Diceros bicornis minor: one gene and its partners. The protein of the gene in region 3 binds, or shares a complex with, the protein of the main gene of each other region. Links are inferred from orthologs where the notes say so. Each region holds a gene or a part of one and is shown on either strand. Other genes may lie near its edges.

The links.
Region 1: WASHC4 (region 3) and WASHC3 share a complex: the UniProt entries of both Homo sapiens proteins name them as parts of the WASH core complex. The link is inferred for Diceros bicornis minor from reciprocal best matches to the Homo sapiens genes WASHC4 and WASHC3.
Region 2: WASHC4 (region 3) and WASHC5 share a complex: the UniProt entries of both Homo sapiens proteins name them as parts of the WASH core complex. The link is inferred for Diceros bicornis minor from reciprocal best matches to the Homo sapiens genes WASHC4 and WASHC5.
Region 4: WASHC4 (region 3) and WASHC1 share a complex: the UniProt entries of both Homo sapiens proteins name them as parts of the WASH core complex. The link is inferred for Diceros bicornis minor from reciprocal best matches to the Homo sapiens genes WASHC4 and WASHC1.

Annotation. Positions count from the first base shown.
Region 1 is NC_080764.1:21,323,045-21,330,778, forward strand, and holds the start of WASHC3 (WASH complex subunit 3), read left to right. Parts: upstream 1-4,719; 5' UTR 4,720-4,775; coding exon 4,776-4,826; intron 4,827-5,392; coding exon 5,393-5,491; intron 5,492-7,734. UniProt on the Homo sapiens protein: Acts as a component of the WASH core complex that functions as a nucleation-promoting factor (NPF) at the surface of endosomes, where it recruits and activates the Arp2/3 complex to induce actin polymerization, playing a key role in the fission of tubules that serve as transport intermediates during endosome sorting.
Region 2 is NC_080760.1:40,396,447-40,403,729, reverse strand, and holds the start of WASHC5 (WASH complex subunit 5), read left to right. Parts: upstream 1-4,282; 5' UTR 4,283-4,418; intron 4,419-6,269; 5' UTR 6,270-6,343; intron 6,344-7,283. UniProt on the Homo sapiens protein: Acts as a component of the WASH core complex that functions as a nucleation-promoting factor (NPF) at the surface of endosomes, where it recruits and activates the Arp2/3 complex to induce actin polymerization, playing a key role in the fission of tubules that serve as transport intermediates during endosome sorting.
Region 3 is NC_080764.1:18,841,513-18,849,480, forward strand, and holds the start of WASHC4 (WASH complex subunit 4), read right to left. Parts: upstream 3,007-7,968; 5' UTR 2,959-3,006; coding exon 2,898-2,958; intron 31-2,897; coding exon 1-30. UniProt on the Homo sapiens protein: Acts as a component of the WASH core complex that functions as a nucleation-promoting factor (NPF) at the surface of endosomes, where it recruits and activates the Arp2/3 complex to induce actin polymerization, playing a key role in the fission of tubules that serve as transport intermediates during endosome sorting.
Region 4 is NC_080756.1:58,683,327-58,690,712, forward strand, and holds the start of WASHC1 (WASH complex subunit 1), read right to left. Parts: upstream 3,018-7,386; 5' UTR 2,417-3,017; coding exon 2,392-2,416; intron 1,950-2,391; coding exon 1,796-1,949; intron 1-1,795. UniProt on the Homo sapiens protein: Acts as a component of the WASH core complex that functions as a nucleation-promoting factor (NPF) at the surface of endosomes, where it recruits and activates the Arp2/3 complex to induce actin polymerization, playing a key role in the fission of tubules that serve as transport intermediates during endosome sorting.

The DNA of each region.
Region 1 (7,734 bases), about 2.5 Mb from region 3:
CATTTGCCCACATAATACCACCTAAGAAGGTTTATCATCACTTGTCTGACAATGTTTTCCATGTAGTTTAACATACTGAATAAGCCTAATAAGTTTAGTATCTTTCTCTTTATAGGCAGAGAGCAAATTTTTTTGAGAAGTTCCAGGGCCCTTTGAAAATTCCCAAAGAAAAAAAAGTAAAAGAAAGACTTTATTTAAGATATGAATTTTGGGGAGCTTGTCAAAAATATAAAAAGTCAAAGCAAACAGAGCGTTAACAGTCTAAAAAGCCTTAGTAGAGAGACCTCAGTCTTTTGAACACAGGAAATTATTTTAACAAAACATAGATTTTCTGTCTTTTAGGTAGATTTATTCAAAGGTAAAGAAAAATCTTTTATAACCTCTTTATCAAGTTTAAGAAAATTATCCTTTTAAGAGACAGAAGACCAAATTTTAATTTTGCACCAGCTTACTTCTGCTATTAAAACTCATTTACTTAATTAAATTCATTTTAATCTTAGCCAACTAGACCATACAAAAACTCTTTTTCTAGAATTCCTCTTCTACAAACCTTCTATAACTTTCTTTTTACATTCAGAATTTGTCCCATGTCTTTTTTTTTCCTTCTAGCACTTGAGGACAAATTTATCTTTTTTAATCAATCAAACAAAATATTTTTATTCTTTGTTCTTTCTTTATACATCTTACTTTCCTTGTACACAGACATATTTTTTTTAATTTTTAGTAGCTTCAATCACACATATTAATTAGAAATTTTAACCCTTATAGACTTTGACTTCTAAGTAAAAACTAAGTAAGCAGTTATAAATTTTTTTTTTATATTAGCATTTTGTGGATTGGAAAATTTATGAACACTTTATAACTTTTAGAAATATGTTATTTTATAGTACAATCTTTTAATAAAACACATGTTTACCAATAGACCCAAAACACCTTTTAGTTTTCCTGTAATGAAAAGCCAAATGTAGACAAACGTAAGTTTAGCAATTAATGTCTAATATCTTATCTTATTTGGAAATGATCTACTCAACTGAATTTTTATCATAAAATTTAGCAAAACTCTAAAGTTTTAAGTCACCAAAAAGAGTTTGGAAGCTGTAACTACTATAACACATAATTATTGTTTAAAGTTCATCCAACATTTATCTTTTTCACAACTATTTACTTGTTCCCAATAATTATTTAGATTGCCTATAAGACTTTATAAGACATCAGATAAAATTAGCCATCATTTAAATTACTATTTTTTTTAACCAGTTCTGTAATAGAAATAACATCAGTTTTTTTCCTACAAAATTTCATGTAAATTTCATCACCTCTTATACCTTTAGACATAGTTATCATTAAGATTTTTACCAGTAGGTCTTGGTTTTCTAATTTTGGACAAGGGAAGCATTCCCAGTCAGACATTTTAAAACATACTCAGGCAAAGTTGATGTAACCTCCTTATATAAAATTAGTTCAAACATTCCAACCTTTATAATCTTATCAACACTCACACTTTTACATGTTCTCAATTCAATTGTAACCTGAGTCAAGGTCTTAAGGCTAGTCAAATTTTTCCCTTCTTTTTTCTGGCCTTTTCTTAGGTACCAAATAAATAATTATGTGAGAGCTCTCAAAACATTTTTTTTCCCCCAATTTAGAAGTTTTTTCAATTCAAAGGATCCGTCGTCTGGCCATTGACAAGTAGGATCTTCATGTGTATATTTATTCCAATAGTGACTCGAACCAATAAGCCTTTTTAAGGAAAGACCTGGAGGTAACTTTCTACGCTTAGAATAAATCTACCATGGACGCAAGAGGCATCCCTGGTGAGGGCGCAGATGATGTAGCCCCCATGATCCACAGAATTTACTCCCAAAGATATTCAGAGATAGTAAAGACCTTTGTTGCACAGGCGGTAAGGATGGTGTCTCCGGTCTCTCACAGTAGTGTGGGACGCCTCCAGTCACAGACTCGCTAATCTGTGACACGGGGCAGGCGATACTGGAATGGGATTTTTCTAGTACTAACAAGCAACAAAGGTTAAGACGACAAAAGCCCTTATGGACTGGGCCCTTTATGACAAACTCCCCTGAGAGCTTGGCACAGCCGGACAAAGAGACAGTTCGGAACCCCAGTCTACTTGACTGGCCACCAAGGTGCACTCGGGTAAATGCACCTTCTGTCTGGTGGAGACCAAGGAGAATATTCTCACTGGTCACAAAGCCAAGTTTTCTCAGGACACAGAACAAGACAGAAGGAAAAACCTCATCTGGTTTTTTTTTTTTCTTTTTTTCTTATGTACACAAAGACAGCTTTAGCCACGCCTTAGGTCTCTTGGAGCCAGAATAATACCTAGCGGGGGAGGTGCCACGGGGTTGGGGACTGTGTGCTTTACAGAGTACCTCGTCGTTGCACGGACTTTTTTTTGCAGTTGGCGGGGGACCTGTGTCATCTACCCCGTTCCGTGACCCAACTTATCCTGTCACGGGAGTCTTCTGAAAGTGGCGAGCGCCCTAATGGCTCTTAACTGCTCGACCCGTGCCCACCAAATTTGCGGCCTTTTTGGCTTCCAAGATGCCCTCGGCAATGGCCTTCACTTCATGTGCATAATAACCCACAGCAAAGTTTGTAGACGCCGGTCTGGTGAGACCCGCAAACTCACCAGTCTGTGGGGCCGGCCCGGACAGCAGGCTTGTAGGGCCTATGCCTGCGTCCTACCCTATGGTATTTCTTTCTTATGACAAAAGACACAGACAAAAGAGAAAAACAGAGACTACCTCTGGGAGGAAAAGGGATCAAGATCAAAACCAAGAGTACTCTACTAAATTTAAACCAAGAGTCACTAAAAGCACAAGAAACTAGTTTCCCAAATATTTTCTCTTGCCAATCTAAATTTAGTAAGAGAAAAAATTCTCACCATTTTTTTCCATTACACTCCGCAGATGGAGATTCCGGGAGGCTGACGTGGTAAGAAGTCTTACCTTTTGCCGGCTTTTGTCAGGCGTTCCCGTATCTCATCATCTGTAGTAGTCCAGGGAGAAGGCAGGTCTTCCAGCCAGAGAAGGCAACTTGCCAGCCAGTGTGGCTCCTGGCGACTCCGCCAAAACTGTCGGGGGAAGAGGGAGAATCTCTCTCTGCCCTTTCCCTTAAGGTTCTTATGGCTGGCCAAATAATTAACAAGACAGGTTAGCAGGAGAAAATAATACCAAGTTTAATAACATGTATACATGGGAGAAAGCAGGGACACTGCGTTTCTCAACACAATAGCAGAAATTCTCGTCTTAAATACCATGTTCAGCCAATGACAAAGGAGGATTTTGGGGTTGGGGGGAGTCAGTTCCAGGAGATTACCACTAAAGCACAGCAAACAAGAGTAAGGTTATTATGCAGCTTTAAGGCCTCAACTTCCACATTGATAAGCCTCTAGAAATGAGGCCATCCCCCTCTCTTCTCAAAACAGAGAGGGAGATACCTTTACAAATGGAGATTTCTCTTATAACTGTAAATGATTGTCTGGCAACTCCTCACAGGGTCATCCAGAGAATGTGGCCAGAGACAGAACTTCTGATAAGAGGGGCTTGTTGGTGCCTTTCCTATTGTAATCTCCATCCTACATTATCTTTACAGCCATCATGATAGATCTGTTCCAGGAAGGAGCCACCATGTCAAATTCTTTAGGCAGTTAGTGGGGGAGGTCAAATGTCCCTAGAGAAAACAACCAAGGTAAAGAGATAGATTTTAGGGTGGCCAAATCTTGATCTCCCACATTACCCAGAAAGCCAAAGTCCTTACAACCACCTACAAAGCTCTACATGATCATACCCCCACATAACTTTTAGACCTCATCTCCTTCAATTCCCTACCTTGCTTGTTCTGCTTCAGCTACACCGGCTTCCAATGTGAGATCTGGGCTAGACATATAAATGTGGGAAACTCTAGAGGTTGGAGATGATGGGAAGGAATCAGCAAATGAAACAGAAGAAGTGGCCAGAGAGATAAAAGGAAAGCCATGAAAGAGTGAATCATGTCTTTCTCTGGCTCAGAATTTTTTAACGGCTCCCATCACCTTTGCAAGTAACTTTCTAACCTTTTAGATCAGAATAATGCAGGGAAGGGGAAAGGATTGGTTAAAATGCAGATTTCTAGGCTCACGCCCAAGGGTCCTGATTGTACCAGATCCAGGGATCCCTGTCTTTAAAAAAAACAAACAAAAAGCCAAAATCGGTTTCTGTAGCATTTGACATTTTCGTTCAAGTTTTAAAGCCCTTCGGGAACAAGTCTTATCTCCCACTTCGGGGCACAAACCTCTCCAGCGCAGGAGGCTTAAACTAACTCAATCTCTGTATTCCCCACGGGGCCTAGCAGAGTATCTGGCACTTAATACGATAAAAAAAAAAAAAAAAAAAAATACGTGGTTTTTTTTTTTTGATTAACGAATGGCTTACCTATTTATATAACAGACAGCATTAAGCAGGGGTAATCTAAAACGGACTCAATTTTTACTTTTGTTTTTTGCCCCAGCTCTAACATTTTACTATCAGAACCGCAGGCTTCCGCCACGCTGCGCCCCCGCGCCTGACGTCACAATCCGGATCTAGAACTACCAATCCCAGAATGCCGTGCAAAGGGGCGGGCTCTCCGGGAGCCGCCGAGTGATTGGCGAGCGGGAGGCGTTTCCTTCCGGCGGGAAGGGCCTGCGAGGCGGGGACTAGGGGATGCCTTTGGACGCTATTACCGGAGTGGGAGGGGTTTGTGCGTGAGTCTTGGGTCTCCCGCCCGCTGAAGAGATGGACGAGGATGGGCTTCCGCTCATGGGGTCAGGCATAGACCTGACCAAGGTTTGTGAATGACGGAGCTGAACTTTTGGCGACCCGGGAGGAGGATGGGGAAGGGAAGCCAGGTTCCCAGGGGACTCCATCGCTCCATGCCACACCCTGTGGCTGGCTCCGGGCCTCTCTTCTGCCGACCTCGGGAGGGAGAGTGCCAGCCTTCACCTTGAAAAGGGATCCCTGTCAAGCTGCTTAGGGGGGGTAATGTGCCTGTCCCAGCCTTCGCTTCGTGCGTCACGAGTCTGTGCTCAAGAGTGACCCGCTGGCGACATGGGCCGGTCGCGACCTCTAACCCTACCTCTTTTATTCGGCCCCCGAGTTTTTTGTGTGTTTATGTGTGTTATCTTTACCGGCAAGTTCGTACTTGCGAATCCAGAGCCCATTCTCCAACTTTTCTAAAGCCTCTCTCATCTTCGGACACCCCACCCCCACAGTTTGGGGAAACAAGTTAATGGCTATTCACAGTGCTTCACAGAACTCATATCACACAGCAAAATGCCTCGTTATTCGTATCAAAGGGATTGCACGGTGTACATTCCTCCTGTACGAATCATATTTGTTTTTACATAATACAGGTGCCAGCTATTCAACAGAAAAGAACGGTGGCATTTCTAAACCAGTTTGTGGTGCACACTGTACAGTTCCTCAACCGCTTTTCTACAGTTTGTGAGGAGGTAGGTCCTGTGATATTGGTTTAATGAGTAGCCTAGAAATCGCCTTGCATTTTTGAAGGTGGCAAATGAGTAAAACAGTCTTTACAGTATTCACATACCATGACCTCGTCACCCAATTATGTTGACATGCCTTAAATCCTCTTGGGTTCAGTTACCATCAATCCTGCATCCCACCTCTGCTGAATTAGTTTTCTAGAGGCCATTGTGAAATAGTTCGGTAAGGCTTATTGTGATTACAGAGGACAAAAAGAATTCCAAAATTTCACAGTTGAAAACATTTTTTATTTTGAAATTTCTTATGTTTCTCTAACTCCTTAGATTTACTTTTTTTTTTTTTGCTGAGGAAGATTGGCCCTGAGCGAACATCCATGCCCGTCTTCCTCTACTTTATATGGGACGCCGCCCCAGCATGGCTTGACAAGCAGTGTGTCGGTGTGCACCAGGGATCCGAACCTGCAAACTCCAGGCCGCCAAAGTGGAGCTCAAGCTCTTAATCGTTTGCGTTATTGGGCTGGCCCCCAGATTTACATTTTTAAGTACACATTGTTTCAGTTTGTATTAAAATTATTTTACATTCCTTCATCCAAAAGATGGTTGGGGAGGTAGCCTAGGAACATAACTTTGGCATCAAATATCATGGAAATAAAAATACTTTCTGCAAATAACTTGTGAAATGAGGATTAAGTACCCAATTAAGGATTAGATACCAGATCCAGGGATCTCTGTCTTAAAAAAAAAAAAAAAAGCCAAAAAAGAGAATGGGAAGGAAAATGGGAAACATGGGTTGAAATTGAGTTTAAGAAAGGAGAATGAGGGGTAAAATTAGATAATTCACAGGTGAGCCAATTAAACAGTATTGAGTTCATTTTGTCTTGTATTTGATATAAAGTATAGCCTTGGCAAGTGGAGTTTTTGTTAGATGTGTTATTAATAAAAATTGCATGGAGACAGGAAAACTATTTTCACTTGTATAAGGTTCCAGCTTCTGTTTTTATCTAGTTATCAAAATCTCTTCTGCCTTCTCACTAAGGCAAAGGAAAGCAAAATGATAATTGATAGAGTAAGGGGCTCAATTCAATATATTTTACTTAACAGGCCCAGAGAGTAGGGGGTTGCTTCCATGAGTTTTATCTTGTACTGCTGCCTCTCTAAGTGGGATGTAGAACTGACTGACTAAAGGATTTAGTCCTTCACTTTTTATATCAGGGTAGGGTGGAGAAGTATCTGGAGAAAGACTATTCCAGGATTGTTAGCAGTGAGGAGCAAATACTCCATCCTCATGCTCTTCATCACCAGGTTAAAAAATAAAACAACAACAACCAGCAGACACACCTGTGAAAGCAACTTGATGGAGCTGCTCTGAGACAAGGATAGCCCCTCACCTTTGTGGTGCCTAACGACTTTCACTGCCTGAGGAGTGAATGCTGTTTCCTGGGGACTAGATCAAATATAATAATCGTCTCTTGTTTATTGACTGCTTGTAAATTATGAAAGCCTCGTGATTCCTTCTTTTCCCCCCTTTCTGTTCCTGTCTGAACTTCTCCCCCAACTGTTTTAACTCTATCACTATTCCCATTTCTTCCCTGAACTTTAGAGAAAAGTTTCTTGACCAAAAAACTCATGAAGTTTAAAGGTGGCTTATTGCCTTTTTCTCCTTAATGGATACTCTAGGTTGACTGTAACTCATTATTTACAGTTTTTGTTTTAGCAGTTTGGATATTTATGTCAGTTGTAGACTGCTTGGTATGATGACAATAACTAGTATTTATTGTGTGCCTAGGCATTGTACTAAGTGTTTTACATGTATTTAGTCATCACAGCCCAGCCCTCTGAGAGAAGTCCAGTTATCTCTCTTTTAGAAATGCAGAAACTGGGATGTAGAGAGGTATAAATCATTTACTCATTCGTTCATTCATTCATTCATTCAATATATATTTGAGTACATAGTATTTATAGCTGGGGTAGCTGCTGTAACTTGCCCACACTCACACAGCTAGAAAGTAGCAGAGCTAGGATTCCAACTCTGATCTGTTAACTGGAAAGAACAAAAATGTCTCACCATTCTGCTATATTGCACCTTCTGATCTGAATAAGAGGCATGTTTACATCTTTTTCAAGTGAGAGACTGCAGTGTCTTCTTTATAGCTATTTCATAATTTATTATTTAGATTCGTACTCTCTTTGCTATACTATGTCCATTTGATGTAATATCTTTTTTAATGTGATAAATTCCAAGGACATAT
Region 2 (7,283 bases), on a different chromosome or scaffold from region 3:
ACAGGCTTAGAGGGATGGGAAAGCTGTATGGTAGCAGAAAGAAGGTATTTTCTTAGAATCATATAGACAGAGCACGAATTCAGGCTCTGTCACTTTACTACTGAGTGACCATGGGCTGATTGCATAAACCTCTCTGAACCTCAGGTTTACTGTCTCTAAAATGAGAAGGAATATCACAATGTGGTCCAGCACACAGTACACAATTAATTAGCATGGACTTGCCCTCCTGCCCTTCCTTTCTAACATGGGAAACTGTCTAGTATCTCTGGCATTTCCATCCTCTCCATTGCCACCACTTTTATCTCACACCTGGAGTACTACAGTAGTTTCTTAACTATTGGCCCTTTTCAATTAGATTCATTCATTCATTCATTCAACAAATAGGTATTGAGTGCCTTACCATGTCAATCATTAGACTCTAAAAAAGACACAGGGTATACAAAGGGAAGGGCATAGAAAAGATGCCCATGATGCTGATCTCTATTTTTGAGGTTTTAGTCTATTACAAACATCCACAATACAACTCTTCTTCAATTCAAATCATTCAGTTAACAAATATTCAGTAAGTAATGTTTTGGAGCATAACGTAGAGGGTCTTAAGTGCAGGATAAAGAATCGGTCCAGTTGGGTCCAGGGGGGCAGTCAATGGGACTTTTAGCTTTATCTGTTTTTTAAAAATTTATCTTAAAAATCAAGAACTGAAACAAACATGGCAAAATGTTATAGATATTAAAATCCGGATGATAGAACAGGGTTCTCATTATGTTATTTTCTGGGACCTTCTGTGATGTTAAAATTCCACACCAAAAGAGAGAGAAAAAATATGACTATGAATACAAATGAGAAACCATTGATGATTTTTGAACATCTGCATTTTGGTGAAAGAGTATTTATTTACAGTCTCACATTATTACACCAAACAAGCTGAGACAGTTAACACAATATAAATACAAATATATGCAGTAAGATGGGAAATATATAATATAAATGCATGAAAATCAGGATGGAAAACAAACTAAAGGGGAAAACAGGTAAAGAAGAAAATTTTTACTACATGTGTAATACAAATTTGGCTATGAGCTTCCTGACAATCAAAGCAAAAAGTGAAAGCTACAGAATCCTCTTTCCCCATAAAGAAAAAGTACATCAGGAACTTGGGAAAAATAAGGCTTTCCATGGCAATCAAGGCAGTGTGGACCATCATATATAAGACAATAAAACTCATACTGAAAAATATTCTCAATAATATCCTTACAATAAATGCAACAGTGAGCTTCCTAGGACTGTTTCTTAGGTTATTCCTCAGGGTAAGCTAAAGACAGGACACTTGGGGTAGATACCAGCTCGGTGCCCACCAAACCCATTTCCTCTTCAATCTGGTTATACAGCTAGACCACAGTTTGCAGCCTTCCTTGCAGTTAGCTATGGCCATATGACTGAATTCAAGGCAATGAAATATGAGCCATTTCCAGGCCCAGTCTATATAAACTTTCTCCACACTCTTTCCCATTTGATAGCTTGAACAGGCAAGCACAGTGACCTTAGATGCTCTATACTGAAGATGGAGAATCCCTAGTTCCTATATCACTGCTTGGCGGAAAACTGCCCGCCAATCAGGCTCCACGCATGAAAGAAATAAAAACTTCAATTGTGCAAAGCCGTTTAGGTTTTGGGGCTTACCTGTTACAGCACCAACTGTTACTCAAAAAAACACAATCCTGCAAGAATCAAATCATATGGTTCAAGTATTCAGTTTTCTAGTCAGTCTTGATTCCAGTTTAAGTCTAAATTGTCTAGGGCACTAGACACGTGGTTATCATGACTGAGGAACTGAGTTTTAAATTTTATTTAATTTTAACCAATTTAAATCTGAATAGCCACATGTGCCTAGTGGCTACTGCACTAGTCAGCACGGTTCTAGAGACACAATTATCCAAGTATACCATATATATGAACCATGGGGTAAGCAAGAAGGGGCAAAGCCACAGAATAAACAGGATATGTTTCCTGGAATATCAATTTTACCTAAAGATAACATGAACCATCATTAGCTACATTACAGAGCAGAATATGAAGGCAATACAGAGTAGGGGTTAAACACCCAGCCTCTGAAGCCAGAGTACCCGAGTTCAAAGCCTGATTTTGCCACTTAAGTAGCTGAAAGACTTTAGGCAAATTATCTAACCTCTCAACGCTTCACTTCTCCCTTCTGTAAAAGGAGGATGATCCAGTGGCTACCACAAGGATTACTGTGAGGATTGAATGAGTTAATATAGATAACAACACACTAAGAACAACGCCCAGCACATAAATCTCATCTTGTGTCTCTGATTGTGTCTCTCCCCAAGCTGACTAAGACACAACGTACACAAGGATTAATACAATCTGGGATAAATGGAAAGTGTCTACCACATGGTAGCTATCCTTATTATCTGAATTCATAATTCACATTACTCCAATGAAACTTTATACTTGCAGAGAGCTAGGGAACACACGGTCACTGCCTTCTGTGAGTATATCAACGGAAACGATTCAGATAAGAAGCAAAGAGAATGGATGGGGCACAAAGATGGAGTAGACACACTTTTCCCTATTTCTCCCACAAAGTACAGCTAAGTACATAAGTCACAGGACAGCCCTCACAACAAAGAATTATGTGGTCCGAAATATCAATAGTGCAGTAGTTGAGAAACTCTGGTTTAAATCAGCCTCCTCTTGGAGCCTTCCCAGGTGGCAATCAATGATCTTTTTGTTCCCTGTACCTATGGTCTCCAACAAAGTTTAAAACAAGGTTATGCATTTCCCCAGTTTTTCCCTAGCATGTTATTTTGCCTCCCGTAAACAGGCCTTGCCTTATGCCATCCAGGCTGCAGTAATAAAATACCACAGTCTGGGTGGCTTTTAAACAACAGAAATCTGTTTCTCACAGATCTAAAGGCTATAAGTCCAAGATCAAGGCATGGGTTCACAGCCCATGCCTTCTGCTCTTTGCCTTCACTTGGTAGAAGGATCAAGGGAGCTCTCTGCAGCCTCTTTCATAAAAGCACTAATCCCATTCCCAAGAGCTCAACCCTCATGACCTAAGCACCTCCCAAAGGCCCCGCCTCCTAATACCATCACACTGGCATTAGGATTCAACATCTGAATTGGAGGCGCACACACATTCAGACCATAGCAGGTCTATAAGATTCTCTGCAGGCAGGACCCATTATTGGCTAATACCATTTCTTCTCTACTGTTCCCTCCTCTTCTCTGTCTGTACAGCACAGTGGTAGGCACAGAGCAACCAATTTATAGGCACTATGCCCACCTCCTTGGTGGGCATGGGAGTCCGTACAAGTTCAGCCAGAGCTGTAGCTCCTTTTTCAAGATGCAGGAACACATGTTTCTTGATGAAGCCTTCCCTTATCTATATAAGCAATTGCTTGTTCCCTCCCTTATGCTGCCACTATTCCTCTCTCCCTCTCTCTCTCCTTCTCTCTCACGCACACACTTCTATTAAAAAACTCAATAAAACTCATCACAACTCTTTGCTCACATGTCTGCCACTCCTTCACCCTGGGAGCAACTTAAACTAGAACTCGGACATATTCTACAGCATTTGAAACAGCTCCTGACACAAAATAGACGATCAGTCAAGATCTGGCCAGAGTCACAACAATAACAGCAACCACCATTTCCAGATCTCCCACGGTGTGCCATAAACCGGTGCCCCCGGGCTTCATTCTCATTGTCGCTAATCCTCACAGCCATTTACATACGAGAAAAGGAAACGGAGGCCCAGAGAGTTTATTTAAACGACACGCCCAAGGCCCTGCTTTTAAAGACAGTCCAAACCAGATTTATTTGGATCAAGAATTCGTCATCTTTTCCCCACACGTTTAGGGCTGAAGGATGGGCAGATGGCGTCTCGGAGAGGGAGGTGAACTGTCCCAGCCTCACTGCTCTGGCGTGAAAAGAACCAGGACCATAACCCAGGTCGACAGACCCCAGGTCAAGGCACCCGCGGAGCGCCCGAGAGGGAGGCGACACCTCCCGCCGCCCTCCCCATCGCCAGCCCCCGCCTCTGCCTTACCTGGCTGCCCGACCTAGCTCCGTCTGGCTGCACCCCGACTCCCCACACCCGGACCCCCACTCCTTCCTTAACTCCCTGCCCCGTCGCTGAAACTGCGAGCGCGGGCTCCGACGTCATCAGCCGTTGCCCGCGAGTGGTCACATGACACCCCGCTCTGCTCTCCTCCCCTGTGGTCATGTGATGGCCCCGGGAGCCAGGGGCGGAAGCCGGGTTCTGGCCGGCTTGCGATCCGGGGCTGGAGGTAGAAGACCCCAGCGGAGAGGGAAGGGTCGGGGACTCCGGCGCTGACTCCGCGCACGATCGCCGGCCCCGCGCGTGCGCCCTGGCGCGGCCCGGGTGACAGGTGAGTCCGGGCGGGGCGCGCGTGCCCCCTCCTTTCACGGCCCCCCTCCCCTCCCCCGTCCCGGGGCTGGGCCGCGCTGGTCCCGCGGGCATCTGCGCGTGGAGTGGGGTCTGGATGGGGGAGCCTGGCGTGGAGGACTGAGGGGCTTCCTGGGGCTGGGGCTGCAGCCCAGCCTCTTCATCTCCACTTAGATGGAAATAATTTTCCACGCCGCTGTGGCGCTTTAGGAAGTGATGTTCAGCTGCTTGACCCGCATCTGAGCCTTCCAAGTTTTCGGAAGCAATGCTGTGTGGACGTCGTTATTCCTCTCTTTACTCGCGAGAAATCGGAGTGGTTAGTGAGCGCTTTTACAGTGTGAGGGACCTGGGTTTGAATTCTAGTTCTGCCATGGGCTGTGAGTTTAGGCAAGTCATTGCTCCTCTCTGCACCTTAATTCCCCCACCTGTGACATGCTGGTGCCAAAGTCCTTTGCATTTCGAAAAAACGTTCCGAGGGTCCAGATTTCACTATGGTCTCACAGTAAAAAGAAAAAAAACACACCTCACAGAGGCCATAATGGAATAGGGTCTCCTGATTCCAAGTGCAGGGAGCTCCCTCCAATGTAGGTAACGGGGGTGAGGGGGTGGGAGAGAGCGGTTTTACTGCCTCTGCCCCCAACAAGGACACTTTCCGGTTTTTCTTCTGTTTTTCCTCATGAATCAGCTGATAGTGATCAGACTCATTTCAGAACTTTTCTGGAAAAGATATGTTGGTCACTTTTATCTTGATCAACAATCATCATATTTTGTTCCTGATAATGGATTTGTGGAGGCCAGTGCTTCCTTCTTTATGGAACTGAGGTTTTATGAAAGGATAAAAATAGACCTATCTTCTTTTGACCTCTGAGTAGGGTAAACAGTGCTTTGTCCTAGGACAACTTATTTCCTTCAGAATTTGGTTCTGTACTCATTGGGTAATTGGTGTGATGATCCCGTGCTGCATTCTTTTTTTTCTTTTTTTTCTTTTTTGTGAGGAAGATCAGCCCTGAGCTAACATCCATGCTAATCCTCCACTTTTTGCTGAGGAAGACTGGCTCTGAGCTAACATTTATTGCCAATCCTCCTCCTTTTTATCCCCAAAGCCCCAGTAGATAGTTGTATGTCATAGTTGCACATCCTTCTAGTTGCTGTATGTGGGATGCGGCCTCAGCATGGCCAGGGAAGCCGTGCGTCCGTGCGCGCCTGGGATCCCAACCCCCGGCCACCAGTAGCGGAGCACGCGCACTTAACCACTAAGCCACTGCCGGGTGCTTCATTCTTGAAAGCATATTGTCCTTTGTCCAGGATTACTTTCCAAACTGAAAACTACAATTCCTTACCAAATTCTTGAAAATAAAGTTATGACCACCTTTCTGGGTACCTTGTAAAAGAAAATTAGGAAATTGAGTTTGGTCTCTGGCTTCATTTTATGCCAAATAGTGATACAGTCTATACTGAGAAAATTGGTCTTTATGAATTTTCTTCGTCCCTAGCACCAAGAGAACCTCTAAGAGGAAGATTTAATATAGCTTCTTCTACAGTGTTTATTTGCACCTCATTTTAGAGTGATTTTTTTAAAGCTCAGCTAAGTCTTAACACCTTCTATGAAGCCACCTACCTCTGAGAGGGCTGCAACATGATTAGGCATCTCTAATGATGGTTCTTAGATTTTGTTCTTTAGGGCCAGTTTTTCAGCCAACAGTGGGGCTGTTTACCAAATACTCTAGTCAGATAATATTTTGGAAGTTGCCTACAATGTAACTCTGGAGTAAGGATTTAAGGATTAAACTAAGAGATGGATACACCAAAGTCTTGACTAATGTCATTATCTCAGGTCTAAGCTTCCCTGACCGTGTGTATGCAGATGCTGAGTACATCTGTCCATCTGTTTGTTGGGAAAGAAAGCAGGTAATGTTGCTTTGCTTTGAGCTGTTTTCTCCATGGCCTCATTGTCTGTCCTATACTGGTGTCCAAAATCTGGTAGCAGTTAGACCTGTTAATCATACCTTACCCTCCTCTCAATTGAGTCTAGGGTTTCATCCCGCTGAGACCTGGGTTGGTTTAGTATTCTTCAGAGGACCTCAGTAGGTGACTCTTTTGCCCATTGTTTATTATTTTTCCCCTTTTCCTCTCTCATTTTCCAAGCCAGACCATATTAGTGCAAAAAAAATGGTATGAAATTATCTGAAATTTAGCCTGTTAGAGATCAATGTGGCTTAACAAGCAAGCATCACAGAGAAAACTAAAAAGAATTGTTAATATTTTATGCCTTAATGTGTCTTATAGGATACCCTCATGAGAGAGAGTTCTAGACAACTGTAGTGGCTTCTCAGTCACAATCAGACCCAACCCCATCCACCTTCCCTGATCTCTGCTTCTATCCCTTGCTCACTCTACAGCAGCCATATCAGCCTCTTTGCTATTCCTTAAGTGCATCTGGCACATGTCGGCCTTTGCACTTACTTGTAACCTCTGCCTGGAATGCCTTTCTCCAAGATCATTATCTATTGTAAAATAACAAACTACCCCAAAACCTAGTGGCTTAATAAACATCTATTATCTTATAGTTTCTGTGGTTAGAAATCAGGGGTATAGCTTAGCTAGGTGCCTTTGGCTCAGGGTCTCTTGAGAGGTTGCAGTCAAGCTGTGAACAGGAGCTGTTCTCTTATCTGAAATCTCAACTGAGGTTTTGGGGATCCATTTTCAAGCTTACTCCAGTGGTTGTTGGCAAGCTTCTCCATCCCTTATCACATGGGCTCCTCCATGGCTCTCTCACAATGTGACAACTTGCTTCCCCCACGACAAACAAGCTAGAGAGGGTGGCCAAGCCAGAAGTCAGTCTTTTTGC
Region 3 (7,968 bases):
AATTCTTAAGTTGGACTTCAGCATGAATTTCTAAATTTAAATTTTAAAACAGCATGTGAGAAGAATAAGTAATGAATTACAGGACATTTATTTCAAATAATCTCAAAAGTCACAGCAAAGTAGACACTAAGCATTGTTAAATATATTACTTTGGAATGTCTGGAGTTCCTGAAAATAAAGTTTCAAAGTTAAACAATAATTCAGGTTTCAATCTTTTCCAAATAGACAAAATAATTTTAAAAGCAGTAGGTGTTACCATATACAGGGATAGCATCTTAAAACTATAACTTTAAAGTATCATGAAAAAGTCACTATCCCATTTACCCCATAATCTAGGGCTTTTAAACAATCTGAATAATGCCTCAGGCAACTCAAGTGTCCTGATTCTATGCTTTAGTCATAAACAACGTTTTTGCAAAAAAAAAAAAAAAAAATTCATGACCTGATTCTGGTGCAAAAATCTTGTCATAGAACATAGATGCTATGTTGTCACAGAAGCAAAACTTAAAAACATAATTCTTAATTCTATACACAGTAAACCGTTTAAAAATACACCTAAATATTGTTTTTAAAATGAGTTTAGACCTGCTTCATCATAATGAATATTATTCCTGTAATACCCAAAATTTACCGAGATATTGTAATTATTTAACTATAATCATAAAGTTGGAAAAGCCAGTAAAGAACACCGAGTGCAGAATATTGTGCTGATATTTACAGAATTTACCCATTAAGAGATGACTCTAAAGAGTCATTAGAAAAAACTGGACAATAAAGGTAGGCCTATTCACCAAAATTAATGAAAGTAAATATTCCACCCTATACATAAGAATTCATTACTTATTCCAAAGGCAGCAAATTCAACTCCAACTCAGTTTCTTTTATTGATGTGAATAACTTTATTCAATCTTCGCCTTCCAAAAAAAACAGTAAAATTTTTCTCTCCTCAAATTAGTAATGTGAAGCAACTAAGATAAAGTATGTTCTGACTCCTTCAAGATAAAGACCTAGCTCCCCATTATTTTGCAACTAATGCTCTGAATCAGGTAGATCAGTTTAGTTCATCAAGGTTCCTATCTCATTACAGCATTAATCTAGGCAATTTTGAAAAACAATTAGTTTAGATATGATTCATAGTGCAAAAATTAATGAAAACCAGGCACAGAGAAGAGATGAGAAGCCTTCTCTTCCCTACAACTTAAACTAAAAACTGCCTAAGACTCTCAGAATTCCAAGTTCATGTCTAATTATCAGTTACGTGGGAAACGACCAAGGCTGCATTTAACCAGCAATTGAGTTTTTAACAATACTAGAAAAACACGTCAATAAATTACTCATTTAGGTTGTCTGAGAATTCACAAAGCAGTAGGCAACAGATAACCCATAATAAAACTATCCTTGCTGATAAGATAATGAATAGTTGTAAAATTGGTTAAAAAAAAAAAAAAAAGATTTGAAATAACTACATGGTGATTCTTCTAGAGTAAAATTCCAGACACCTGTTTACATGCTTATCTCTTCCAACAGCACGCATTCCTTGTTTTTTCTTTTAATACCTAGCACAGTGCCTGGTATGTAGAACACGTGGAGTGACTCAGATCATTCTGCTCTAAGTTGAACCATTTTCAAACCCAGTAACATATTTTCATGCCAATTTCCTGAAGATACTAGTGTAGGAGAACTGTCGTCCATAAAACTTCATACATGACAAGGAGCAGTTCACTTTATAACAGTAAACACAGAACCCTCTCTATAAAATAATTAAATGTTGTCATTACCACCAAGATTGTCTTTTATGCTGCATAAGAGCTAATATCTCACGGAAAGTTTTGTGAAAAACTACAAACCATTCTGAATTAAGCTCATGCTTCTTTGAGAGGCTATAAAACCTAACTATATCTAAGTTTGTATACGAGTCTTTCTTTATAAAATTAAGCAAAACTCACGTGTAATTTTTTAAAATTACATTCACCTTTTGGGAAAAATGCATTAAAAAAACAAATTCACAAGCAGTATATCCCAATATCTCTTATATCACTTATACAGATTAATATCATCAAGATAAGAAACAGATTGCCAACTTGTATTAATCTTAAATAGAGTCTCACTGAAATAATTAGATGGCCTCTAAATTTTACTGCGTGGAACTGAATTTGTTAGGTTCTTTTGGTTGGACTTGTAAGTGAAAATCAGTTTGATTTTACGAAGGAAAATTTGCAGAAGATTTGCTGTCATTTTTGAAACCTTTCTAGCTGCAATGGAAACTACAGGATATCCCTGAAAAATACCACTTAACGTAAATAAAAGGCAAGGAAGGAGAGAAATTGACATTCACGTGTTTATTTTTTATCATGTGAAGAGTTCTTTTTCGCTATCTTCTACGGTTATACGAACGAGAAGGAAAACACGGCCAAACTTCCGACAGTTGTTTTGGGAGGAAAAGAAGAAAAACAGGAAACCGAAACAGGAACTCGGATCTCAGCCTCTTGTAGAACTGAACGCTTGGAGGATCCGGCGAAAGCCCCCAAGAGGCAAGACAAGAGCCAGCCTCAGCTGCCCATGCTGCCGGGCCTCCCCGGACGCGCCCCGCCCGTGCCTCCCTCTGGGCGGCAGAAAGTGGACGCCGCGCCCCCCGGGGACCGCAGGCTCCCCAGGACAGTCGCCGCCCCGAACGCCGAGCCCAGACCGGGCCAGCCTGACCCGCCATTACTGGGACCTCCAACTCCCGAAAGCCACGCTCGACAGCGCATGCCTCTCCCACTCCAAGGGGCGGCAAGTGTCCCGACACGGACGGCTGCGCAGCGACCGCGACGCAGAGCCCTCCCGCAGGAGCGCTGCCAGGGCTGAGGCGGGCCGGGGAGCGTCCGTCCGCAGCCCTGGCCCTGCCGCTCCCTTACTCTGTGAGCCGTCGTCAACGCGGTCGAACTCCCAGTCCGGGGACAGAGTCTCCACCGCCATCACCCCGGCGCGTCCCACAGTCACAGTCCAAACCAGCCCAGACGACGACAGCGGCCTCACCCCGGAGGCTGTCACAGCACGTGACTTCCGGCCCCGGCCCCACCCACCTGGCGAGGGCCGGCCGCGCTGAATGCCCCTGCTTGCCGCGGGGGCCGCTGGGAAAGCGAGTCCTCCGCGGTGGCCGGAGGCGGCCGCCATGGGGGCGGTGGCGGCGGTCCTTGTCGTGTCCTCCCGTTTCTTCTTGGGCTTTTGCGCTTGTCCCCTTGTCTTCTCATGCCACACGAATACCTGCAATTTCGCCCTGCTGTCTCGAGGCCATTTTTAATACCTGGGGTGTTGCTCCTTCAGTCTTGTCTAAAAAGGACAAAATTAATGGGGTGAGGGCTTAACAGAAGGCGTGGTCCTCGAGGAAGTCGCTGTCCAGGCGCTTCTTGCAAGAGGCCGGTGTTTCCATTGCCCTCCCTGTGGCCTCCACCGGAGTTCCCGGCGCTCTCGTCCTGCACGTCCTGTGCGGATTGTTCCTGAGAAAACACCGCTGTGCGAGAGGAGACCCCAGCGAGGAATTTTACTACTCTGCTTACCTTGCACTCACCGGCTCTCCACCCCTCCTCTTAAAAAGGCGGGAGGGCAGAAGAAGTGGTGTTTAAGTGTGTTCTAAAATGCTCCTACCTGCTAACTGGCTTTTCCGCAAATAGGGATCTGTGTTACCTAGTGTGTACACAGATATTTGCACGGCAATATTCATTGCTGCACGTTTTCAAATAGATACTAATAGGAAATGATCTAAAGGTCCATCAACAGGGAATAATTACATAAAGTTTAATACATCCGTACTATGAAATACTAAATAGCTGTTAAAAGAAATGAAATAGATTTATAGAGGCATGAGAAACTGACAGAAGGTAGTTGCAGAATAATGTGTATTTGTGGTTATGTTTATATTTTATATAAACGTGTATGTACATATGTGCGTGTAAATGCATAGAAAGAGAACTCAAATCACACCAAACAGGGCAGTGGTGAACTGGAAAGGAGTATGTGCTGGTGATTAGAAAGTGAATTTCTTTCTTTCTTTTCAAAAATTTTTTTCTTTCAAAAAGAATAATTTAATCAAAGCAGGTGTGGGAGATCAGAAATGGCCACCCCAAAATGTGCCTCTTTGGCTTGATTATTTTTAAGAACAAAAGACTCTGAAAGAAACTTTGACCTTCCCCCTAACCGCCTATAAGAATTTAAAATAGAAGGGCCTGTTCCAGGAAGGAGCTAATATCATAAGATAACTGTAGTGTAATGTAAAATGTGTCTTTCAGGTCACATTGTCTATAGTTGGCCCATTTTTGCCTTTCCATATTTGCATTTCCATCTCCATGTAAATTACCTTCCTCCCCCTTGAAGTGCCAAACCACTACCCTCAACATCCGCCTTTGTCTTTAGCTGAAGATGGTATTTAAGGTGGCAGCTTTGGCCATTCTGGCGAGTTACTCAGCTGTTCTGGGTTTCTCCCTTGTATACATGTTATAAAGCTTTGTTTGATTTTCTCCTGTTATTCTGTCTCATGTCAATTTAATTCTTAGACCAGCCAGAAGGACCTACAGGGTAGAATAATTATCTTCCTCCCCTACACAGGTCAAAGATCTCTTGAAGAGCATTCCCTGAGGCCCATGGATCTGCAGGTCAAATATTTGAGTGCCCACTAGGTAGCAGGCCCTGTGCTAGATGCAGAGATTATTATGAAAAAACAGACAAACAGACAAGAAAGTGGTTCCAAGATGAATCTCACTGGGCTAAGATCAAGGTGTTGGTAGGGCTGGTTCCTCCTGGAGACCCTGAGGGAAGGATCCATTTCCCTGCTTTTCTCAGCTTTTGCACATTGTTCCAACCTCCTGCTTTTGTCATCACATCTACTACTGATTTTGACTCTCCTGACTTCCTCTTATAAGAACCCTTGTAATTACACTGGGCACACTCAGATAATCCGGAATAATCTCCCTATCTCAAGATCCTTAATTTAATCACATCTGCAAAGTCTCTTTAAACATGTAAGGTAACATAGTCATAGGTTTGGGGGATTAGGACCTGGACATCTTTGGGGGCCTATTATTCAGCCCTCTACATACAGGAAGTCTTTTCTGATAATTGCAATATCTGGATTTCCTGTGGGTCTCTTTTCTGTTGTCTGATGTTTTGTTGTTTTTTGTTTTTTTTTTTTCTTTCTCTTGATTTTCCATCGTTTGGTCTTGTTTCCTGATACACCTGCTAAATTTTTTAGTACATCCTCTTCTTTATGTATGAAAACGTGTAGAGATAAGTTAAGGATCTGAATGATGTTACCTTCCTCCAGAGAGGATTACTATTTCTTCTGGAAGGCTATTAGAGTAGAAGCAGATTACTTCAATCCAGTCTAGGACTGTTGTGATTTGAAGCTGGGTTTCTATCTTTGTGAGGGCTGTTCTATGCCGTATCATCTTAATCCTACAGTGTAGCCCTGCAGGGGTGCTTGACAGGTCCTGCCAAACCTCTGCTCATCTTTTCAACCTCTCAGCTACTGCTTCTGCTACTCAGCCTCTTGGATTCTCAGCTTGCCACTTACAAATTGGCAAACGCTTTGAGGTGAAATGTGGTGCCAAATGTCAGGCTCACCTCTCTGGACCTTCTCTCCTGAATCTCAGTTCCTCAAATCCTCACTGTCCTAGGTCTCCAGTGCCTTCAAAAATATTTTTAGCAACAAAAGCGAAAATGGACAAAGGTGACTACACCAAACTTTAAAAGTTCTGCACATTAAAGGATACAATCAACAGAGTGAAAGGCAACCTACAGAATGGGAGAGAAATAACTGCAAGTCATATATCTGATAAAGGGGTCGATATTCAGAATATACAAAGAAGTCCTACAACTCAACCATAAAAAAAAAAAGTAATCTCATTAAAAAAAAATGGGCAAAGGACCTGAATAGGCATTTTACCAAAAAAGGTATACAAATGGCCAACAAGCATATGAAAAGATGCTCATATCACTAATCATTAGAGCAATGTAAATCAAAATCACAGTGAGATATCACCTTACATTAGGATGCCTACTATCAAAAAAGAAAAAAACCCGGAAAATAACAAGTATTGGCAAGAATGTGGAGAAATTGGAACACTTGTACACTACTGGTGGGAATATAAAATAGTGCAGCCTCTACGGAAAACAATATGGAGGTTCCTTAAAAAACTAAAATTAGAATTACCATATAATCCACTTCTGAGTATATATCCAAAGGAATTGAAAGCAGGATCTCAATGAGATATTTGCACACCCGTGTTCAGTGCAGCCAAGAGGTGATGCAGCCCAAATGTCTATCCACAGAGAAATGGATAAAGAAAACGTATATTCATACAATGGAACATTTTCAGCCTTTAAAAAGAAGGAAATTCTGTCATGCACGAACATGGATGAACCTTGAGGACATTATGCTGAAGGAAATAAGCCAGTCACATACTGTATGATTTCACTTAAATGAGATATTTAGAATAGTCAAAATCATGGAAAAGAAAGTGGAATGGCGGTTGCTAGGGGCTGAGGGGAGGGAAAATGGGAAGTTGTTTGGTGGGGTATAGAGTTTCAGCTTTGCAAGATGAAAAAGCTCTATGGTGCCGGCCCCGTGGCGTAGTGGTTAAGTGCGCACGCTCACGCTCCCGGGTTCGGATCCCGGGCGCGCACAGACGCACCGCTTGTCAGGCCATGCTGTGGCGGTGTCCCACATAAAGTGGAGGAAGATGGGCATGGATGTTAGCTCAGGGCCAGTCTTCCTCAGCAAAAAAGAGGAGGACTGGCAGATGTTAGCTCAGGGCTGATCTTCCTCACAAAAAAAAAAAAAAGCTCTAGAGCTCTCTTACACAACAATATGAGTATAGTTAACACTACTAAACTGTATACTTAAAAATGGTTAAGAGGGTAAATTTTATATTATGTGTTTTTACCGTAGTTAAAAATTCAAAAAAAAAACATTTAAAAAAATATTTTACCAGGCTCTTCTGGTTGTTCTTAGCAGGAGAACTGTTCTGATACAAGCTAGGCAGTCATAGCTAGGAGCCCTGATGACTTTCCTATTTTTGTTTTTAGCAAATATAGTTGCTTATTTCTCTGTTTCCATTCTTTTGCTCCTCCAGCTAATTCTTGACTTAGTTGTTAGAGCTTAATTTTTAAAATACAATCAGAGTATGCTACTCCTTTATTTAAAACATTGTCAGTGGCTTTTAATTGTGCTTACAATAAAATACAGTATCTATGGAAAAGCCTACCTACCTCACCGACAACATCATCGGTCTCTTTCCTTTTTGCTCATTATAATCCAGCCACATTGGTCTTTTTGTTCCTCCAACAAACTGAGCTCTTTTCCACATGAAGGCTTTCACACATCCTGTGCCCTCTTTTTGCCTGGAAAGTTCTACCCGCTCTGGCCATCTTCCATATCTCGGATTAAATGTCATTTTCTTAGTGAGGCCTTCCCTGACTACACAATCCCAAATAGGTACCCCTTTTATTCACTATGTATTTTTTCTTTTGTAGCTCTTATCAAAATTTTTGATCATTTAATTATTTGCAGGTTTTCTTGTTTAATCCCTATCTCTCCCTCTAGACTATAAGCTCTAGAAACATCCAAACCATGTCTCTTTGATATAGTTCAATGCCAAGTATAGTGCTTGGTACATAGATGATAAATATGTATTTGTTGAAAGAGTAAACCAACAACTCTCATTTTTTCAATTGCTCTGTAATATTCATTTTTCAGGAAAATTATTTCCTCTTAGTTCTTCAGTGGATGGCACTGTTTGTTAAAGACTCTGTAAGTGTAAAAAAAACCATTTAATAAAATGGCTTTTTTAATTGTTCATTTCTTCAACCAGTATTTAATCAGGACCTCCTCTGGTTGATATACCACAGTGACTAAAACCCTTCAAAGAGCTCAGTTATTCAGTGAGAGAAACTATTAAGATATTTTAACTTAGGAACTGACAAAGTCAAGTC
Region 4 (7,386 bases), on a different chromosome or scaffold from region 3:
CATTCTGCAGAGGCTAAGGCAGGCAGGTGTGTTGGTGGGCAGGTCAGAGGCAGAAGAGTCAGAGGATCTAGTGTTTGTACCGAGTTCAACTGGAGACAGTGACCCTGCGTTCTACTCCCATTGGGGAAGGCTTCCAGGAAGAGGTGGACGAACGACTGGTGAAGGAGGAGACTGCATGAAGCATTCCTGATCTCGGTACAGGAAGGGGAGGGTGGGGGTGACTTAGGCCACACATGAGAGGGACCTCAGTCAGGCAGTCAAATGCTTCCCACTGGGTGGGATAAAAGACCCCTGGTGAGGCATGGCGTGGGCCCCCAGCAAGGAGAAGCTCTAAGCCCCATCTCAGGTTGCTTATGGACCTGTATACAGGACAAAATGCGGGACCTTTGCAAGGAAACAGCAACACCATTCATTCATATTAAATAAACAGGGGGCCGGCCCCTGACTTAGCGGTTGAATGCACGCGCTCTGCTACTGGCGGCCCGGGGTTCGGATCCCGGGCGCACACTGACACACCGCTTCTCCGGCCATGCTGAGGCCGCGTCCCACATACAGCAACTAGAAGGATGTGCAACTATGACATACAACTATCTACTGGGGCTTTGGGGGGAAAAAGGAGGAGGACTGGCAATAGATGTTAGCTCAGAGCCGGTCTTCCTCAGCAAAAAGAGGAGGATTAGCACGGATGTTAGCTCAGGGCTGATCTTCCTCACAAAAATAAATAAAATAAAATAAACATGGAATGAAAAATCATTATAGCCCAAGGACTGTGCTAGATCAGTGCTGGTGACACAAAACGCTGCCACTCTGCTCAAGACTGGCCATAACCTCTAAGGCCCTGCCCACCTCACCAGCTTCACGCACCCCCTCAGCCCCTCCTCGCTCCAGCCACACTGGCTGCCATTCAGGTCCTTCCCACCTCAGGGCTTTACCTCATGCCTCACTTTCTTTCTGGAACCTACCCACTCACAGTAACTCCCACCTACCCTTCAGATTTTACCATACATGTTTTCTCCATATATGCCTTCCCTGACCCCCCATGCCAGGTCAGGCGCCCCGTTGACAACTGTCTTCTACAGAGAGGCAGTAATAATTCCAGACTCGGGAGCCACGACACCCGGGTGTGACCCCTGGCTCTGCCCCCGGGCTGGTCTCTTAGCCTTTCTGTGCCTCAGCTTCCTCATCCATAAAATGGACATAACAACAGCATCTCCTCGTAGTTGTTGTGAGGGTTAAATGAGTTAATGCACTCCGATCATTGGGGGCACACAGTCAATGCTATATAAATATTAGTTATCACAAAATTATTATAAATCCGTCTTATCACAGCTGTAATTCAATGACTAACATGAAGTTGACTGGACAGAGTCTGTCTCTCCTGCCAGGGTCCATCCTCAGGCAGGACAGGATGTGGCCGTATCCACTGCTGTGACTACAGAGGCGAGCACAGTGCCTGGCACACAGGAAGTGCTGAATAAGTGTTTGCTGGCAGGGGAATAAGTGAAGGAACAGGGCCCCCACTGGGAGAAAGAGTATGAGCTGGGAGAGGAGTACCCCCATGGGGCCTGGGGATCTGCAGGGAAGCCAGGGGGCTAAGTGGTGCAGTAGGTAGTGAGCTCTTACGAGACAAAGTTCTAAGCTGGGCGCCCCTTGGGCACAGGGAAGCCAGCTGGGTCCCCTAGGACCGAGAATCACCCAAAGGGCTGTTCCTAGAGGGGGCATTCCTGGGAATGGAGAGATGGCTGCCCAGGCAGGGGCGGCCCTCCGATCGGTGAAGGTGGGTGGCAGCACCCACCTGCTGAAGATGTCTCCAGACACCTTCTGTAGGTACTGCAGGGCATCCGCCACCTGCTGGATGGCCTCCTCTCGCCGCAGGTCCGGCTGGATGAGGGGCACCGCATAGGTCTGACCTGCCAACGAGTGCTGGGTCATCATGGGAGTCATGGTGCCTGTGGGTGGGAACGGGAGCATCAGGACTGCCCCACACTCACCCACACCCACCCACCACAGGGCAAGGTACCGGGAGAAGAGAGCACAGCCCCTCGCCCTAACCGTCTGCCGCAGGTTCGGCCCGTGCAGCGGGAGAGTGGGGGACAGAGCATTTGGTGGGAGGCCAGGAGCTCACAGGGCAGGTAGTCTGTTGGTGCTTGTTGCGTGAATGAGGGAGGAAAACTGGTAGGGACAGCAGAGACTGACGAGAAGCGTTCAGAGAAGGTGCAACATGGACTGACCGCCCTAAGGCGCATGGTACCATTTCTGTGTGTGATCTCATTTCAACCTCCCAAGCCCGGGTGAGCAAGAAAGAAACCCTGGCTGCACAGTGAAAAAGAGGCTGGAAGCAGAGGGTTGGACATGGGGAAAAAATTGCCTGCCTCAACTTCCAAATGGTACCCGGCTCTGGAAAAGCACAGAACATGTGGACTCCTGGGTGGTTCTCACTTTGGCCTGTTCCTGTGTTAGGACAGGCCGTGGCTGGTGACTCTAGGTATAGGAGCGTCCGGCTCTGCTCACCCAGGCTAGAGCCAAGGGGGGCCAGGAGGAAGAAGGGGCCTGTGGGGGCAGAGGACAGGAAGAAAAAACACTCCTTTGAATTTCTAGATGAGGGCACAGTCTATTTATACTGGGTTTAATTAACTCCGCTCCCTGTTGCCACTAAAGCAGCAATCACTGCAGATGGCACTGATTTGACTGGCAAGAGACGCACCAGGCAGAATGTTAAGGTGCCAGGCCCCTATAAATAGGCCTAATCAGAGCCCCTTGGTAGAAGACAGCGAGGAAGACATTAATCAGGCCCGGCCCTGTGCCCCAGACCTGTTCTTCCAGGCACCATGTTGGGGCCCCTGGTTGTAATAGACGTGTGAGTGGGGCTGGGTAAGTGTGGCAAAGGAGGGCTTATGAGTTTTCATTTGGGCTTAAAGCACTGTGTGACCTTGGGTAAGTCACTTGCCTTCTCTGAAGCTCTGATTCTTTCCATTTCCCATTCTACAGACTGAGAATGGCACTGCTCTCTAAGAAGTGGTTATTGCCAATGTGTCACACCAGTACCTTCACCAAGCTGGGGCTTACTCCTTTGCTCCCTCTGCTAGCTTCTCCTTGCCCGTCCTTCTACCCTACCCTCGCTCTCTCCTACTCTTCCCAGGCCAGCACTTTTCCTGATCTGAGATGACAGTTCTGCTTTTTGACTTTTTCCTCCAGCAATGACACCCTCAGCTTTCCAGACCTGAACCTGCCTAAAATCCTCATCAGGGTCCAGGAGGAACTCCTCACCTCTCCACTTCTCTTCCCTCCTATCAAGTGACCAAAGTGGGCCAGCTGATCACTAACCATCTGAGGGACCTGACCCTCTGAGACCACATACTCCTTTCAAGAATGCTCCCTTTCTTTGTATTTATATTGATGCAAATTTGCTGGCTGTCCTTAGTTCTGTACCTCAGTTTTCCCGTCTCTAAGATAGAGAGGGGGTAAAAGCTAGAAGATACTCTTCTGTGCACACCTTGAGATGCCTTCCTTATGGTTAGTTACTACATCTGTGTGTGTGTGTGTGTACATGCACAAGGGGAACAACAGGCACAAAGCTCCTAAACAAGAAAGTAGCAGGTCCGTTTGAAAATTAAGAGACTGAGCACAGCTGCTTAGTGATTTACTCATTCTGTCTGCACACATCTACTCATCAACTATTAGGTGCCAGCCACGATCAAAACAAAGATAAAGGGACACTACACAGGCCATGGACACAGCCTCGAAAACAAACGCCCTGTGATAAGGGCTCTAATCCAGCCATGAGTACAGCACAGGGGAACAATGAGGAAGGAGGGATAAATCCCTTCCCGGGTTAGGGGAGTCAGGAAAAGCCTCTTAGCAGAAGCTGTCCCTCCCTCCCAGGCTCAGGGAGAGAGTGTAGAGAGAGAATTCCAGGTAGAAGGAACAGCTTGAACAAAGGTGTGCAGGGAAATGGCAAGTGTTTTTGGGTGGTGAGGGTATAACCATCCTCGTGAAAGTGGGAGAAAAAAAAAAGATAATGAGGCCAGATTGTGTAAAACCCTGAATACCACGGCCATGAGTTTGGACTCCAGCCTGTGGGCCAGGAGTGAAATCCTTAGACCTAGCCATCCAGCACGCAGCCACTAGCTACACTCGGCTGCGGAGCACTGGACATGTGGACAGTCCCAACGGGATGCAGTGTAAATGGAAAACACACACCGAATTTCAAAGACTTCGTAGGAAAAAAGAACATAAAATATTAAATTTATTTATATTGATTACATGCTGAAACAACCAAATTTTAGACATATTGGGTTAAATAAAATATATTACTAAATTAATTTGACCTGTTTCTTTTCACTTTTAAAATCACATATGTGACTCGCATAATATTCCTATTGGACGGCGCCACCTGAGAGAAGCTGGTAAAAACAAGGACTCTTCCAGGAAACTGCACACACACCACCCCCGCCTCTCACAACGCTGCCCGTGACCTCGGAAGTGCACGACACCCTTCCTGCACCGCGTCCCCGACGCCCCGCTCCCAGGGTCTACACCCCGCGTTAGAAGCTCTGCCGGGGCAGTCAGGAACCAAGCACGGTTAAAGCAGTGGGGTCATCTAAGAGAGACCAGGGAGGGATGGGAGCTGCAGAAGAAGGGTTCGAGCCTTCCGTTCTGCCCTGTTCCTAAGCCCAAGAGCTCAGAGGGTGTCAGGTCACGTGAGGGTCACGGGGCCGGCGGGCCGAGAGGAAGCGGCGGGCGGGGGCCTGGGGACCCGAGTCTGCTGTCCCGGCAGGGCCCTCCCTGCGCCCGGGCCTCGGCCTCGCTCCGGCGGAAGGACGGCGCCGGGGGAAGGGCTGGGCGCACGGGGAGGAAAGGCCGGGAGCTGCGGGGGTGGAGGCCCGTCTCCCTGGCGGGCAGAGGCCCGGCGCCGCTTCCCGGCGGGCGGCAGAGACGGCGGGGAGGCCGGGCGCAGGCTCCGCGGGCCCCGCGGGCCCCGCGCTGTGGCCGCCCCGCTCAGCCCCCGCCCGCGCCCCGGGCCCGCCGCGCGCCCCCGCCCGCGCCCCGGCCCTCCCCGGCCCTCGGGGGCCTCCGCGCCGCGCTCACCTGCTCGCCGCCGCCGCCGCCCGCTGCCGCCCCGCCCGCGCCGCCGGATCCTGGCGCCGCCGCCGGCCGGGCTCCGCCTCCCGGGCGCTCGCGGGGCCCCGAGCTCTGGCCCGCGACCGCCGCCGAGTCGCAGACCCCTGCGCCGAATCCCCTCCGAGCCTCCGCGGTGCACACGGCACCGTCCCTTGTAGGCCGAGCGCCAGGCCGCTGCCGCCCCCCCACGCCTCTGTGCCCTCGCTGCGGCCCGCTCTCCAGGGACGCCCTCGCCTGTCCCGCAGGGCGCCTGGGGCACGACCCCCGCACAGGCCCGGGAACCGCCCCCTTCCCTCCAGCTGTACAGACTTCGCTGAATTAATACATCTTTCAGCTGAATAATACACCCTTTCTTTCTTGTCCTGGCCTCTGTGGGCAGTTGTCCCCACAGAGTCCACTTAGTTCCCGCCCCCCTTTAAAATTAAAGATATAAGCCAGACACGGAAGGACTAATACTGTACGGCTCCACTTGCGCAAGGTACCTGGAGTAGTCCCGTTCACAGAGGCGGTGAGCAGAGTGGTGTGGTTCCCAGGGAGGGGGAGCAAAGCGAGGGAGGGAGTTATGTCGGATGGGTCAGAGTTTAGTCCGCTCCTCCGGAGCCTCTTCCCGGCTAGGCCTCCGCCTGCATCCCGAGAATCCTAAATGGGAATGCCCCACCGTCTGTATCAGGTCACCCTCCGTATCTGACCAAATTCCTCATCCTCTAACATCCTCTTGCCTTCAGCAAGAATCCTGTTGGGTCAGTTTAGCAGAAAATCACCCACGCTCTTAGCAATTTCTATCCACGGACAACCCCCCCCCCCCCCCCCCCCGCTATAAATCTTCATTTGTCCATTCTGTATTCGGAACTGACCCCAGGTCTACACGGAGATCTCTTTTCCTCTGTTGCAAAGTCCTGAGTTAAATCAGCTTTAACCTCTTTACTGTCCAGCTCTGGTTTTCTTTGACATGTCAGTTTGGGATGACGGAAAGTTCTGGAGATTGGTGGTGGTGGTTGCACAGCAAGGTGAATGTACATAACGCCGTGAACTCTACACTTAAAAATGGTTAAAATGGTAACTTTTATGTTATGTATATGTTACCACAAAAAAAGCTAGATAGTTAAAAAAAAAAAAAAAGGCTAAAAAATTTAAATGTATAAAGGAAGTATTCCAGAGATCCTGCAGCAGTCCCTCCTGGAATCCCTTGGCTTGGCTTAGAGTTCTTAGCCCCTCTCTTTTGGGGTTGCAAGAGAAAAATACAGGATGCCAAGTTAATTTGCATTTCAGTAAAAATCGAATATATAAAAATTGTCTATTGTTTATTTGAAATTCAAAATTAACTAGGTGTTTGATATTTTTATTTGCTAAATCTGGCAGTCCTACTCTCTTGCTAATACTCTTGAGTTTTGTCCTCCTTCCCTGCCCCTCCTCTTGGGGGAGTTAGGTTGAACTGTCTTTTTTGACAAGAACACTTCATTGTCTCGCTGGCTGCAGCGAATGGTCCCCACCAGTGGTGCTGAAGAGATGGGTTTCCACCTATATTATAGACTGCATGTTTGTGTCCCCTAAGATTCATCCGTTGAAGCCCTCCCTCCCAGTGTGATGGTATTTGGAGAGGGGTCTTTGGAAGGTGATTAGGGTTAGATGAGGTCGTGAAGGTGGATGAGATTGGTGCTCTTATAAGGAGCGACACTGAAGAGCTTGCTTATTTTTTCTCTTCACCACATGAGGACACAGTGAGAAGGTGGCCATCTGCAAGTCAGGAGAGAGTTGTCACCAGGAATCGAATGGCTGGCACCTTGATCTTGGACTTCCCAGCCTCCAGAACCGTGAGAAATAATTATTTATGTTGTTTAAGCCACTTAGGCTATGGTATTTTGTTTTTGACTAACATAACCTGCAAACACATTTACCCCTCACTCCACCTGAGCAATGACTGAGCGGTTTAAGGTATCCAGGACACATCAAGGAAGGGGAGATGTGCGTGCATAGAGGAGACGGTGGCAGGCTGGGGCACCTTGGGCAGGTCATCTGAGGGGGCCTCGGATGCTCCAGATATAAATTGGAGTTGAGTGCTTGCTCTCCCTCCTTTTGAAAGCTGCAGAGAAGGGCTGTCCAAGTGCTTTGTGATCTGTGAAGTTTATTCCAACACGAAAGGAAATTTGTAGTGCTCCAGGATGTCTGTCTACACATAGACACACACACACACCACATCACATGTCAAATCTTGCTGTATTTTCTCACGAAAGTGTTACTAGACAGCACCACCGGGCCCAGACCGGC